3 linked regions of the Macaca mulatta genome follow. The protein of the gene in region 1 purifies or fractionates together with the protein of each later gene. This does not show direct contact. Links are inferred from orthologs where the notes say so. Each region holds a gene or a part of one and is shown on either strand. Other genes may lie near its edges.

Region 1 (5,129 bases):
TGGGCTTTAACAACTGGACAGGAACAGCTGTGCTCTGCAAGACACCACCCATGCCCACAGCCAAGGGGAAGGTGTCTGTCCAGGCCAGAGCCCACCAACTCTCTCTCCATTCCCTTGCACAAAGAGCCTAGGCCAGGGCTGGCCAGAGGGTCAAGTGTCATCGAAGTCAAAGGTTGCTCATTGGCCAAGAGCCAAATCAATCTGCAGGCAACTGTGTTTTGTTTGGCCTAGAGTGAGTTAAAGTTCTGAATTAACTGGATCATATTTTTTTAATTGTAATATTTCACAGAAAAAAAAAGGGTATAGGCAAGAAAGAAAAACGGGACATACGCTGGGCTTGTATTCCTGCAAGACATGGGCTGTAGCCTAGTATCTGCTCTCCCAATGGCCACTGTCCCCACCACCCCTGGCCCTGAGCCCACTCTTGGTTGGCTCCCATGAGAGCAGATCCTTCTCTGAGACAGGGAGCAGAATCCCAAGGCCTGAGAAGGTTAGTGAGCCCCCCGGCCATGGGGATCCTGAAGCCACCTCATGGTCTGCCTGTTTCCCCAGGCCTCCTCAGTGAGTTTATGCTAGAACCAGGATTCTTAAAGGCAGGTGCTGATTGCTTGGTAGTAGACATTCCCTTCTCTACTCACGTCTGCTCCGCCATCTGGGGGTCCACAGGGCTGGGGGAATCCATGCAGAGACCTGAGGGGACAGAGCACCTTGGTTTGAAAGTAGTGGCACTTTCTGTATACTTTCCCCAACCATGTCCCAATAAGAAAAAAAAAAGAAAAAGAAAAGTTTCTAGTTTGGACTTTGGCACATTAGAAAATGAAACAAAACCCAATCATGGACCCTGAGAGCTGACACATCGTCTCCCAAATGGTACAGGATGCCACTCCCTGTTTACTATGGAAATTTCTTTATATGTGTCTTTAAACCACAATGCTCGCTAAGCATTTTTCTTGAACTGATTTCAAACAATTTGTTCTAGAAGAGACAACAGATTTTTAAAGAAGAGTTTATAGACTAAGAATGTTCTCAAGACCAACTCAGCCCTGGGTGCTTCCCAGGTAGGGCTGTGGTTTAGAACTTTGGTGTGTGGTTTTACACAGGTAAGATCTCATCTAGCGTAGAGGGCCCCACCCTCTCATCCACTCAGCCAGTCCACATTGGGTGTGGTGAGCCCCACATGAGGTGTGTCTTCCTCCCATCTCTGTGGAGGGTGGGGGAAAGGCTCCTGGGCCCACCAGGTTGTGGGGAGGATGTTAGTTTGATCCGCAGGGAAATCGAGAGGCCCAGGCAGCCCCCACAAACTCTCCTGGCACTGGCAGATCTCCCCAGGCTCCCCTGGGCCTCACCTGCATCAGAAGATTCGGAGGAATCTGACGACAGGGAGGATTCAGATGCCCGTCGAGACAGGGATAGGCGCGTCAGGCGGCTGTGGCTGCGGAAGAGCAGGGTCCCTACCTGACTCTTTGGGGTTTCGCTGGGAAAGGAGCAGGGACCCGGGAAAGGAGAAAGGTGGGGTTCAAAGCCTCGCTAGCCCACGTTCCCACTCCCTCACTGAGAAAAGAACTGAGCGAAATGCTACAGCGGGAAAGCAATGGCCCTGAGGGCCGGCCCTCTTCTCAGCTCAAGGCAGGTTCATTCTACAGAGGTCCTAAAGGGGCTTCTCTTTGTTGACTGGTTTAGGAAAGGTCCTCCCAGGTGCAGGGGAAGGTGAGCCCAGGGTGTGAGCAAGGTGGCCTGGATGGAGACCAGCCTAGGGGTTGGTGGTCTAGCCGAGACGCCCCGGAGAGCCTTCCCCTAAACTGTCAGACCCCCACCTTTCCAGGATTCTTCCTGAAGGATGGACCAAGACCAGGTTCTCCTACTGGAACAACCCAGCTCTCCCCTTGCACTTAGGGAGCAGGATCAGTGTTTAATTAATTGCCTTAATTCTGGGGGCAGAATTGGGGTGGAGGGAGCGGGGGTATGGATGTGTGAGTGCCCTACGGCTCTGCCACCCTCAAGTTCCCTCTCCAGGCTTGGGAATCCCATCCTGGAGCAAAATGGTGGCTATCTGGGCAGAGATTAGGGAGGCAGCGTGGTGGAGGCACAATGAGGGAGGAGGGAGTGAGGGGAAAGACTTGGAGAGGCTTGTGTAGACTGAGAGCAGGTCACCTGGAGGTCACCTGTGTGGGGGACACAGCCCAGGTCTCACCTCCCATGTCCTGTACCTCTCCACTGCCCAGGATGCCTCCCCCGGACTCCACCTCCTGGATTCGAATACCATGCCCGGTTCTCCAGGAGGCCCAGGACTCCAGACCGGGCCTCTCACCCCCATATCCAGCCTCCTTGGGGTGTCCTACCTGCCGAGCCCGGCGAGGTCATGCATGGTCTGGGTGAGGGTGGTGACCGGCGAGGAAGCGGTCGCGCGCACAGGAGACACCAGGAGGCCATGAGATCCCAGCAGGAGGCCCGGGAGGTGGCCGGGACGCTGGGCGCCACCGCGCACGCATGCTGGACTGAGAGCCGAGCCTGGCGCGGGCTCCGGCTGGGGCACCTCCATCGCTGCGGGGCCGGCAGAAAGCTGGCTGGAGGGCCGGGCGCAAGGCAGCCAACAAACGCCGGCACAGCTGGCTGGGCCGAGGGAGGCAGCGGGCGCGGAGGGGGTGAGGGGGGGAAGGGAGGGAGGGAGGAAGAGCCACAGGGCTAGGCGCGAGGGAGGAGAGGGATGCGGGGAGGGCGGGGGCGAGGGACGCAGGGCTCAGGCACCAGCCTGGGAAGCCTCTAGTTGCAGCTGCCACTTCCACCTCCTTATATATTCGAAAAATAACAGCGGCCGCGCCGCCGGACGCCACCAATGGGGTAGCGGGTTAGAGGAGGGCGGGATTGAGGGCGGGGCCCTCAGGGCGAGAGGCGCGGAGGCTGGATATCTAGGCTTTGGGTGGGCCGGAGGAATTAGGAATCATCCCATACCCTCGCACATCCCCCTGGCGCGAGGATCCAGGCCTCCCGAAATCCTCCTGTCGCGACATGGTTTGGAGCTCCATACTCCCAAAGGCAGCAGCAACGCCCTAGGGTGGCCTCCGCTGGACCCCCCGCGGCATATCGTCACCTGGTATCACCGCTAGGGACGGGGAGAGGCTCCAACCGGCTCCCGGAAGTTTGCTAAACACAGCTGGGCTGTGCGGTCTGCGTTAGATACCCCATTTTACAGACCTGGACGTTGAGGCGTGAAGTTCATTAATTCGTTCAAGGTCACGCGGTTGGGCAGGCGGTGGGCCAGGATTCGCTCCCTCCAGGCGCCTCTGACCCCGCAGCCTCCCCGCCCCCGCAAGTGGCTGCGCTGAGCAGCAGCAAAACGTCATTCGCAGGCGGAGCGCCCAGCTTAGGAGGTGGGAGGGCAGTGGGGCCCCCAAGCGGAATTGACGGGCGCTTTCGGGGGACCCCAGGTTAGATGTTACCCCAACCAGTCCAATTTTCGCGGCAGCCCCAGTAGAGGCTCTGAATGGTGGAACTAGGCATGGATTTCCGCGGCTGGGGGTCGAGGAGGGTGTCAGCAACCAGAGAAGTTAATTAAGTATCACGCCCATTGATGACTTAGCTAACTTGGTGGCAATGGCACCATATTATTTAATTGGTGTTTCTTTGATGACCAGACCAGAGAGGCTGAATTTGTCATTCATTTAAGCCAAGCATCTTCCAATTATCTTTTTCTTTTTCCTTTTTTTTTTTTTTTTTTTTTTTTTTTGAGATGGAGTCTCGCTCTGTCAACCCGGCTGGAGTGACTCGGTGATCTCTGCTCACTGCAAGCTCCGCCTCCCGGGTTCAAGCGATTCTTCTGCCTCAGCCTCCCGAATAGCTGGGACTACAGGCGCACGCCACCACACCTGATTTTGTATTTTTAGTAAAGACGGGGTTTCACCATATTGGTCAGGCTGGTCTCGAACTCCTGACGTCGTGATCCACCTGCCTAGGCCTCCCAAAGTGCTGGGATTGCAGGCATGAGCCACAGCGCCAGGCCCATCTTCCAATTATCTAAATGCCTTCCAGCCCCGCCCGTTTTCCAGGCCTCCTGGAACAAGAGGGCTGAAGGCTGCACTGAAAAGCCAGTGGGTAGTAAGCAGCTTTCATATAGCATACGGTATCTCCAGGTTAGAAGTGGCCTCTGGCTGGGCGGGCAGTTGGGGGGCGGGCTGCAGTTCAGCAAGGCAGGAGCGCCCCTTCTAGTGAAGTCCCAGCCACCCGGACCCAAATTTTTGGGGGTGGCAAAAGGGACGGCCTGGTGATGGGGGGCTTGGTGGGCCAATGCACGTGAAGGGGAGGGGAAGACCCCAGCCCCACCTGAGAGGGGTGGCCAACGTGGGAACCATGACCTTTCCTTTTCTCCACATTTTGCCCAGTTCCTGTGCTGTGCAGAGGGCTCTGCAAGACTGAATTTCCGGTTCATCCTCCCTGGGTCAGGGGTCATGCCCTGGACCTCCAGCCACTACTTCCAGTGAGGATGTGACTGCCCTTAGTGCCAGGAGGGAAGGGGGAAGTGCCCTTGTGAGGCTACCCAGCCCCAAAACCAGAAATAAAACCCCCAAGATTTGCGTTTTCAAAATAAACACAGCAGGTATCCCCCCTACCCCTCACCCAGCCAACATACAGGGCAACAATGCAGGGTGGGCATTATACTGTTGAATCCCTTGAAATCCCAGTCAGGTCACCTCTGGGCCGGTGAGTGGGGAGGTGGGCAAGACCATAGAGGGGTTCTGGGTTTTTTTGTTTGTTTGTTTGTTTGAGATGGAGTCTCACCGTGTCACCTAGGCTTAAGGGCAGTGGCATGATCTCGGCTCACTGCAACCTCCGCCTCCTGGGTTCAAGCGATTTTCCTGCCTCAGCCTCCCGAGTAGCTGGAATTACAGGTGCCCGCCACCATTCCCGGCCAATTTTTTATTTTCAGTAGAGACAGGGTTTTGCCATGTTGGCCAGTCTGGTCTTGAACTCCTGACCTCAGGTGATCCACCCATCTCGGCCTCCCAAAGTGCTGGGATTACAGGCGAGCCACTGTGCCTGGCCCACATACATAATTTAAAATATGCTAGTAGCCACATTTAAAACAATAAAAAAGAAACATGAAATTACTGTAATATTTTATTCAATGTAATGTA
Region 2 (4,974 bases), on another chromosome or scaffold:
AACAATACAAGCCAGAAAAAGAAACAGTGTTCAGAAGAACAAACAAGGAACACAGATGTTATTATTATCTATTTGGCTATCTCCTGTGGGTTGGGCACTACTGACAGGCAGTGGGCAAACAGTTGTGAACAAGACAAAAACCCCAGCCCTCAAGGATACTATGGTATAATAATTAAAATGGCTATTAAGCATGATGCAAAGGGAACTACAAAATGCTCTTGGACTAGAGGAGGAGATAAAAAATGAAGCCAGTAGAGACTGGCCTCCAGGTAGAAAGAACAGCCATTGCCAAAACTCATAGGCCAAATCACAGGATACATTTGAGGACATCAAAGAAATCCGAATTAGAGTTGAGTGGCATTAGATGAGGCTGGTAAAGAGACAGTTTTGGAGACAGTGTTCATAGTAATAACACAATGTTCAAATGATATACATTTGAAGGTTTTCTGAGTTAAAGCACTCAAACAAATGCTTTCCATAATATTGTTCAATTGAATCGTATCTTTCGTGTTAAGTCCAATTATCACCATTTGCAGAGGCAGAAACCGAGATCCAGAAAAGTTAGAGGGTTTACCACTGTCACACTTATAGAAATAAAGAATGGGAGTCATATGACTTAATACATGTAATGGATTACATTTAAAATTACATTCTTAACTGCTCTTATTTATGGTAGCAATTAAAGTACTTTTCTCAGAAGTCAAATCTGTAGTTTCCTATAGGTTTGGAGTTCTATCATCTTAAAGAAAAATATATTTATACTTTAAGAAGGTCTCTTTTTATGCCAAACTGAAATCAACACAAATTCCCTGGGAATTTAAGAAACATACTACAAAGCATTAGACATACTAATCACATTATTTTTAATTCAGCAGCAAAATGTGTTTAGTAGAATGGGTATGAGGTATTTAATTTGTTTAAAAATAAAAATAAATACACACACACACCCCTCCAATCGAACACCACACTAACTTGTCATTCCTATTTCACTAAATTCCCTCCAGTATTCCCCCCTTGTTTTTTTACTATTTCTTGTCAAGTGAGGTCTTTGATCACATTAAAAATATAGTTGTGAATTTCCTTCTGGCAGAACCGATATAAACTGGATTCTACTAGCAAATTATTTTGTACCTGGAGAATTGAGAATGTTCTGTTGGAGTCAAGGAACAGGCGAAGGGATATACCCCTCATTTGTGCCATATATAGATCTGATCATTCCTTCAAGTACCACAGAAAGGGAATGATTATATACGTAAGTTATAGTTTTAGAATAGCTTAAACATGTACATATGACAGGTCATTTTTTTCTTACGGTAACTAAATAGAAATTTTATTTAAATTAGATTAAGTCAATTATTGTAACCAGTCTATAAAGGCTGGATAAGAATATTTATCATCCTAAAAATAATTGAAAGAGACTAAAAATAGACTATGAAATTAGCATAATTCTGCATCCCTAACCTCTGCCCCTCAACACATGTGCAAGTCATCAATAGTGTCTTCAAAATACAAGTATTTCTGATACTTCTTTAGTATCAGAAGACTGTAAGACTATGGGGGTGAAGGGATGGGTCATTAGGGATTCAGTAATTTCAATTCTCTTGAAATGTGAACAAATTTGCGTTTATTAAGTAAAGAACATATATTAATGCACACTGGTACTACAAGACATCTTAATGGTTGAATTTTAATAAATATTTACATGTGTTCATATTACAGAAGTTGTAGCATTGTTAAATCATCCCCAAAAATTTATATTACTAAAACCACTCACCTTCTCCAATTTTCTCTATTTTGGTATAATCTTCCATAGTTAGTCAATGGGTATGGCAGATCCTAAAATGAAGGAAAAACTGACTTAATTACATGCCACTAACTTGAGTAGTTTTTAGCATTACACTATATGTAAAGCATTTTCCACTGTGCCTACTGCAGTACATAAGTATTCCATAAATATTAACTACATTCAAACAATATTTACAAGGGTAAGGACTCCTACAATAACTTTCCATCCTTCTGGACTCCTGAGACATTGGAAACGTGTATATTCTATACTAGTGTAGTATTTATTTAGCTTCTTCCAATCAAAATAACCCTCAAATTCAGATATCAACTTGTCTATTCTTTCCAAAGAAAAACCAGAATTATGTTCCCTTGTTGTGACACTAGTATCTGAGTGTGCCAAAGTTATACCCAAATATTTCAACAAATTTATACCGCTTTATGATATTTCTAATTTTATTCAAAACACTATTTTTTATAGTTATAAGGGGAGAACTAAAATGTGTTCAGATTGTTCATTAGGAAAATTTTGTTTAAAGCGGCAAAAACATTTTAAGCGTTTCCAGTTGCCCACGTGACAATTTTAATCTTTTTTTCCTCTGCTTGCAGAGGTCACAAACATGCTCAAGACTTTCAAGGTACTTTTTCCAAGAGTCGGAAATATCACTTAAGCACCCTAAAACAAAAGAATGAAAAGTGCAATTCCACAGATAAAATTCTAATTATAGCCTACACAATGTCAAGGACTAAGCAGAAAAACTGTATACCTGAATCACAATGAATGGGTTTAAAAAAAAAACAAAAAACAACCAGAAGTTCAAGACTTCCTCTGAAGTTTGTCAATGAAACGTCAGAACTCCAGGCATAATTACCTAGATTTTTCTAACACCCATCACTGATGATAAGATCATTTATAAAGCCCGCTCTGAACAGACCTTTAAGTTCTATTTCCCACATTCATCTTCAAAGAAAAAAATCAATCCAGAAAGAAGCAGAGATATATCTTTTTAAATGAAAAAAACTGCACTACACTGCTCATGAGTGTTAAGTGCCTGGGCTGAGTGTTCTTAACAGCTCCAGGTGGGCCGGGGCCGTGGGCAGAGCAAGCCCCAGAAGGCCCACGAGTTCCGGGATCGGTTTCTCAGGGCAGCCTCGCTTTAGGAATCTGCGCCTGTACCTGGCCCAGGTGCGGTCCCGCTTTCCCACCTCCGAGGCGGGATGGGAGGGCGCTCAGGGGCCGGGCCCAGGAAGGAGCCTGCCACTCCGCTGGCGCTCAGTGTGGGGGAGCGGATTTTGCTTCAATCAAGACCCGAAAGCCTCCTAAGGCAGTTCCTAAACAGCCGACCTGAACTCACGACTGCAGCCCCGAACCCCCACCCCCACCCCCACGCCGCCTAACCCCGCCAGGCTGGGCTCCCATAGCCTCCCTCTAAAGCCGGCGCAGTGTGGTTCACACGCCCAGGCCCAGGCAAAGGCCCTGCCCACCCCACCCCGAGGCCCAGCCTGGCTCCGCGCAGGTCCCTGCTCTCCAGTCCGGCCTTCTTAGAGGAGGACCCCGTTCTTCAATACTCGCCCTTCGAGGTCCCCGGGCCATCCGCTAGACACGACCCTGACCCCAGCCACTGTACCCGGCTTATTATCCCGCGGCGGCCGCAGCGGCAGCTACCACAACCGCGTAACTCTCCGCTCAACTTCCAAGAGCCAGCTTTGAAGCCAAGTGCGAGCAGTTTCAAACTCACCGCGCTAAAGGACCCCGGATCCACCAATCGGGTAGAACGTAGACTTTCAAAGCAGCCAATCAGAGCCCAGCTACGCTAGGCTGGCCTTCCCGGGTGTCTAGAGCGCGAAAGAAAGAGGAAAGGGCGGCTAGAGAAAAAGCAGGAGGGCGGGCGCCAACTGAGTGCGAGCGCAAGCGCTCTCCTCCAGCCGGGAGAGTGTCGTCCTACTGTTTCTAGTCAGCGGAGCAGGAAACTACTGTTCGCTCCGTTCTTCTTTTAAATTTTTTCTCTGAGCATTGGCACAGTTCAAAATTATTATCCTCAAAATAGCTCATCAAAAAAGTGATATTGGGTTTACATCGAGATTCCATTACTTTCACTTCTAATACTTAGGGTTAGGAGTGTATAGTTATGTTTTTCTAAATGCGTGATTTGCGGGCTGGCTCCAAGGAGCACCTTTCAGTGACCTTAAGAAGGTAATGGAAAACTTAAAAGACTGTCTCAAAACTGTAAAGGAAGATTTATTATTTATATCGCTGTGCTTTGTTTCTACCTCATTTTTGAATTTAATATTAAATTATTTTATTATTTACATTTTGTGTATTATGCAATTAAAAACATTTGAAATGTAAATTTTAAAATATTTTCACATCAGAATTTTAAATATATAGAGAGAGGCATGTATTTAGAGCCTGGGTTTCATTATGCTATGCATGCTGGCCTCCAACTCCTGGGCTCAAGCAATCAGCCTCAGCCTCCAGCGTAGCTGTGACTACAGGCACCCGCCACCATGACCAGCTTAAATATTATTAAAACACAAAAATTCACAATTCTATGAGGGGAGAAAAAGAGGTTTAAATTATGCTTTAAATAATCCAGTGTCAAAAACTCTGTCTTCATTGCCATCCACAATATCCTTAAGACAGATTTCTGCATTTAATGCAGTTAATTTTTTTCTTGTTCTTTCCTTCTTTCTCTCTTTCTTACTTTTTTTTTTTTTTTTTTTTTTTTTTTTTTTTTTGCCTGTTTGTTTGCAGAGACGGTGTCTCCTTATGTTGCTCTAGCTGGTCTCCAACTCCTAGGCTCCAGCAATCCTCCTGCCTTGGCCTCCCAAAGTGCTGGGATTACAGGTGTGAGCCACCAGCCCAACCTAAACACCATTCTAAAATCTTTTTAAAATAAACAAATAGAACAGTAAAACAGAGCCAGAGATAATAAAAGTCCATTTTAAGGATTTCTGGTTGCATTGATCCTAATAGGACATAGAACAAAGATTGATTACCACATACACCACAAGTATGTATTAGAAGACCCAAATTAGAATATGGAATGGAACTTCCTTACCCTTGTGATATAGAATATATCACATGCATTTAAGTGTTTAATACCTTTTAACACAATGAGCTGCATCTATCATCTGGTATTATACATTGCATCTGGCTCAACCTTGATAATTTTTGTTCCTAGGTGATAG
Region 3 (4,329 bases), on another chromosome or scaffold:
AGGAGACACTCACTTCCAGGAGTCACTCCCGGACTCTTTCACCACCCCTGCCTAAAGCATCACCACCCCTGCCTGAAGCATCACCACCCCTGCCTGAAGCATCGCCACCCCTGCCTGAAGCATCACCACCCCTGCCTGAAGCATCACCACCCCTGCTTGAAGCACGCCTGGTATCCTCTCCTGGACTCAGTGCTTCCGTACCACTGCTTCTGCCAGAGATCATGTCTCAGCCTCAGAGGCCTGAGTCTTTTCCCCTCTGCCCTGTGTGAACTTGTCCTCTTAGGAGATGAGGGTTACAGAAAAGCCATGATGTGGAAGTGCTGCCCCCAAATCCCTGGACATACAAAGCAGTTGGGAGACCCTGGCTTTGTCCATAAAGCAGCTGAGTAAAGAAGTGGATGTGGTGATTGATGAGGCATCATGACTTACCCAGTTTGCAGTGGATAAATAATAGACTCAGAGGTCTGCCAGAGGTCAACAAGAACTGTAAGCTTGGAACCATTCTCAGTTCTTCAGCCAACAAGGCTCCTTCTTCCTTTTATCTCAGACTCAATACAAAATCTGCTTTCTTGAGGAATTGTCTTTTGCCATCAGCATGAGCCTGCAGACACCGTCCCTGAATACCTGACTGCTAAATACACCTAAACTCGAGCAGAGCCAGAATTAGCCACCTTTTCTGAAACCATCTCAGCACTTCTCAACAAATAAAGAAATTGCTTTTTAGGGGCACCTTTTAATCATGCCCTTAGGTTCATTAAGAATGGACCCTGTCTTAGTCTATTTGTGTTGCTATAAATGAATACCCGAGGCTGGGTAATTTATAAAAGAAAAGGGGTTTATTTGACTCATGGTTCTGCAGGCTCTGCAAGAAGCATGGTACCAGCATCTGCTTCTGATGAAGGCTTCGAGCTACTTCTCCTCATGGCAGAAGGCAAAGGCGAGCCAGTGTATGCAGATTACATGTGAGAGAGAAGCAAGAGAGAGGGCGGAGCTGCTAGGCTCTTGTCAACAGCCAGTTCTCTCAGAACTAAGAGTGAACTCCCTCCTATGAGAATGGCACCAAGTCATTCGTGAGGGATCCACCGCCATGACCCAGACACCTCCTGTCAGTCCCCACTTCCAACCCTGAGGATCAGTTTCAACATGAGATTTGGTAGAGTCAGACAAACCATATCCAAGCCATTGCAGACCCAGACAGAACTCAGATGCCAGAATCATTTCCTGGCTGTCTCCGTAATTAAGCATCATGCTTTTTCTCTTCTCTCCTAGGGTGTGGGATGTGAACACGGGTGAAGTTCTTAACACATTGATCCACCACAATGAGGCCGTACTGCACTTACGCTTCAGCAATGGACTGATGGTGACGTGTTCCAAGGACCGCTCCATTGCTGTGTGGGACATGGCTTCTGCGACCGATATCACTTTACGCCGTGTCCTGGTTGGCCACCGGGCTGCTGTCAATGTAGTAGACTTTGACGACAAGTACATTGTGTCCGCCTCTGGTGACAGGACCATCAAAGTAAGTATGTCTGCAGTCATAACCCAGCCTCCTCCTGTCCCTTTTAGAACAGAGAGAAAGCAGAGGTGGCTTATACCAACCTGGTACCTGGTAAGATCTTTATTCTCCTCTGTGCTTAGTGTAATGTTTTCAAGGTTCATCCATGTGCTTTGTAGCATCTATCAGCTTTGTCCCATTTTTGTTGTTGTTGTTGTTGTTGTTGTTTTAAGTACAGATGGGGTCTTGCTATATTGCCCAGACTAGTCTTGAACTCCTGGGCTCAAGCATTCCTCGGCCTTCCAAAGTGTTGGGATTAGAAGCATGAGCCACCACACCCAGCCAGTACTTTGTTGTTTCCAGTGGCTGAATAACATTTCATTGTTCTTCTGTTTATTAGTTGATAGACATTTTAGTTGTTTCTATTTTTTCGGCTATTACAGATGATGCTGCTATAAATATTAGTGTAGAAGTTTTCATGTTTTTAATTTTCTTAGGATGGTAACCCTCTGTTTAACTTTTTTTTTTTTTTTGAAGACAGATCTAACTCTGTCACCCAGGCTGGAGTGCAGTGACACAGTCATGGTTCACTTCAGCCTTGACCTCCTGGGCTCAAGCCGTCCCTCAGCTCAGGGACCCCTGAGGCTCCCACCTAAGCCTCCTGGCGTAGCTGGGAGTACAGGCACTACCAGGCCCGCCCCCCTGCCCATTTTTTTTTTGTAGAGACCAGGTCTCACTTTGTTGCCCAGGCTTGTGGAACTGCCAAAGTGTTTTCCAAAGGCACTGCACCGTTTTACAGTCCTGCCAGTGGTATGTGGGGGTTTCAGCTTGCGCAAAGAACATCCTTTTCATGACCAGCACTGGAAAGCATTCTTACACCTAGCCCCACAAATCACAAAGTGTGTAGCATCAGGCTTTAGACTGGATAGTTGGGAAGCTAAACAACTAGGATTTATATGTGGCAACTTACTCCCACAGTCACACCAATTGGTATGAGACCAGTGCCTGAAAGTTGAGAGGGTCTGAGCTTTATTACAAAACAGCTGTTTCATAATACCAGCATGGAGGATTTCTCCATATCCTCGCCAACACTTGCTGTTATTTGTCTCTTTTCTTTTATCTGCCCTAGTGAGTGTGCAATGGTATCTCTGGTTTTGCTTTGCATTCCCTTATTACTGATGATGCTGAACAACTTGTTGTATGCTTATTGACCATTTGTGTACTTTCTCTGGAGAAATGTCTATAAATCCTTTGCCCACTTTAAAAATTGATAATTTGTCTTTTTATTGTTGAGTTATAAGTTCTTTATATATTCTGGACACAAGCCCCTTATGAGATACATGATTTGAAAATATTTTCTCCCTTTCTGTAGGTTGCCTTTTCACTTTTTTGATGGTATCCTTTGATGCACAAATGATTTTAATTTTGATGATGTTCAATTTATCAAGACGTGCCTAGGTCCTTGATCCATTTTGAGTTAGATTTTTGTTTAAGGTATGAGGTAGATGTCCAATGCCATTCTTTTACATGTGGAGATATATTTATCTATCCCATTCAGCTGCAAATGCAGCTGTTAAGATAATTCAGGGCACTCTGGTTGCTGTGTGTCTCCTTATTTGTCTAATAATACATTGAGATGTCTATGAACATCTAAGTCTTTCAGATGATATCACAAAAGAGGGGATTATTTATTCTACATACATACAATTAGAAGTAATGTGTCAAAACAAATGGAGCTGTTCAAGAAAATATGCTGGAAAAGAGGATTATATGAAAGATGAAACTTTTTGTTTGTTTTTTGAGACAAAGTCTCGCTTTGTCACCCAAGCTGGAGTACAGTGGCACAAACACGGCTCACTGCAGCCTCAACCTGCTGGGCTCAAGTGATCTTTGCACCTCAGCCCCCTAAATAGCTGGGACCACAGATGTACACTACCACGCCCAGCTAGTTTTATTTTTTGTAGTGATGAGGTTTTACTACGTTGCCCAGGCTGGTCTCAAACTCCTGAGCTCAAGCAATTCTCCCGCCTCAGCCTCCCGAAATGCTAGGATTAGGTGTGAGCCACTGTACCCAGCTGGAAGCTTTTTTATTACATTAGCTTCATTGGGTTTGACATGTCAGCTGGTGTAAAAACATAAAATCTGGCCCAAACTCTTTCCTCCAGGTAAATGAATATCCAAACCATCTAGGAGATGTTCTCTTTGTAAAGATCTCAACGACTGGAGACTTCACTTCCCTCCGTGTTTCATTCCAGTGTTATTACTCAGCAGCCAAAGAAAATGTTATGCTGTCTAGTCTGCCCTCTAGCCTCCCAACTTTGAGTTAGAGGACACTGTATTTTATAATCACATATTTGGGTCATTCTCAGAAGCTGTCTTTTTAAGAAAGGTATATTGTGGGAGGACTTTTCCACATTCATTCTTTAAAATATTGTTAATTTGTTATACAGGTCTGGAGCACGAGCACCTGTGAATTTGTCCGTACTCTCAATGGGCACAAGCGAGGCATTGCCTGTCTCCAGTACAGGGATCGGCTGGTTGTTAGTGGATCATCAGATAATACCATTAGGTGGGTAGAAGTTGGTGTGCTGACAGAGCAGGCTGATTCTTGCCACGTTGTTGACTCATCTCCTAGTTCTAATGCTCAAAACAACTCAGAGTAAATGGGATGTTTCAGATAAGAAAGCTTTAGGTAACTTTTAGAAATGTATTTGGCTCTGTATACTCAAGTGGGAAAACCGTGTATGCCCTGGGTGGTCTTCCAGTGTTCCCCCAGTACATAAAGTTTTTTAACCTCAACTCCACCCAGGATCACTTAATATCAGAGCACTTCA

Evidence for each region.
Region 2: the proteins of CDC25B (region 1) and CDK1 purify together in Homo sapiens (affinity purification with western blotting; 4 studies listed by BioGRID). This does not show direct contact. The link is inferred for Macaca mulatta from reciprocal best matches to the Homo sapiens genes CDC25B and CDK1.
Region 3: the proteins of CDC25B (region 1) and FBXW11 purify together in Homo sapiens (affinity purification with mass spectrometry; 14 studies listed by BioGRID and IntAct, counting the BioPlex papers as one, with this or other methods). This does not show direct contact. The link is inferred for Macaca mulatta from reciprocal best matches to the Homo sapiens genes CDC25B and FBXW11.

The regions. Positions count from the first base shown.
Region 1 is NC_133415.1:80,270,857-80,275,985, forward strand, and holds the start of CDC25B (M-phase inducer phosphatase 2), read right to left. Parts: upstream 3,332-5,129; 5' UTR 3,218-3,331; coding exon 3,193-3,217; exon of another isoform or gene 2,960-3,192; coding exon of another isoform or gene 2,950-2,959; intron 2,763-2,949; exon of another isoform or gene 2,542-2,762; coding exon 2,340-2,541; intron 1,475-2,339; coding exon 1,347-1,474; intron 691-1,346; coding exon 639-690; intron 1-638. UniProt on the Homo sapiens protein: Tyrosine protein phosphatase which functions as a dosage-dependent inducer of mitotic progression. Directly dephosphorylates CDK1 and stimulates its kinase activity.
Region 2 is NC_133414.1:89,038,496-89,043,469, forward strand, and holds the start of CDK1 (cyclin-dependent kinase 1), read right to left. Parts: upstream 3,427-4,974; 5' UTR 3,411-3,426; intron 3,379-3,410; exon of another isoform or gene 3,356-3,378; intron 1,837-3,355; 5' UTR 1,812-1,836; coding exon 1,775-1,811; intron 1-1,774. UniProt on the Homo sapiens protein: Plays a key role in the control of the eukaryotic cell cycle by modulating the centrosome cycle as well as mitotic onset; promotes G2-M transition via association with multiple interphase cyclins.
Region 3 is NC_133411.1:180,721,708-180,726,036, reverse strand, and holds part of FBXW11 (F-box/WD repeat-containing protein 11), read left to right. Parts: intron 1-1,269; coding exon 1,270-1,519; intron 1,520-3,945; coding exon 3,946-4,064; intron 4,065-4,329.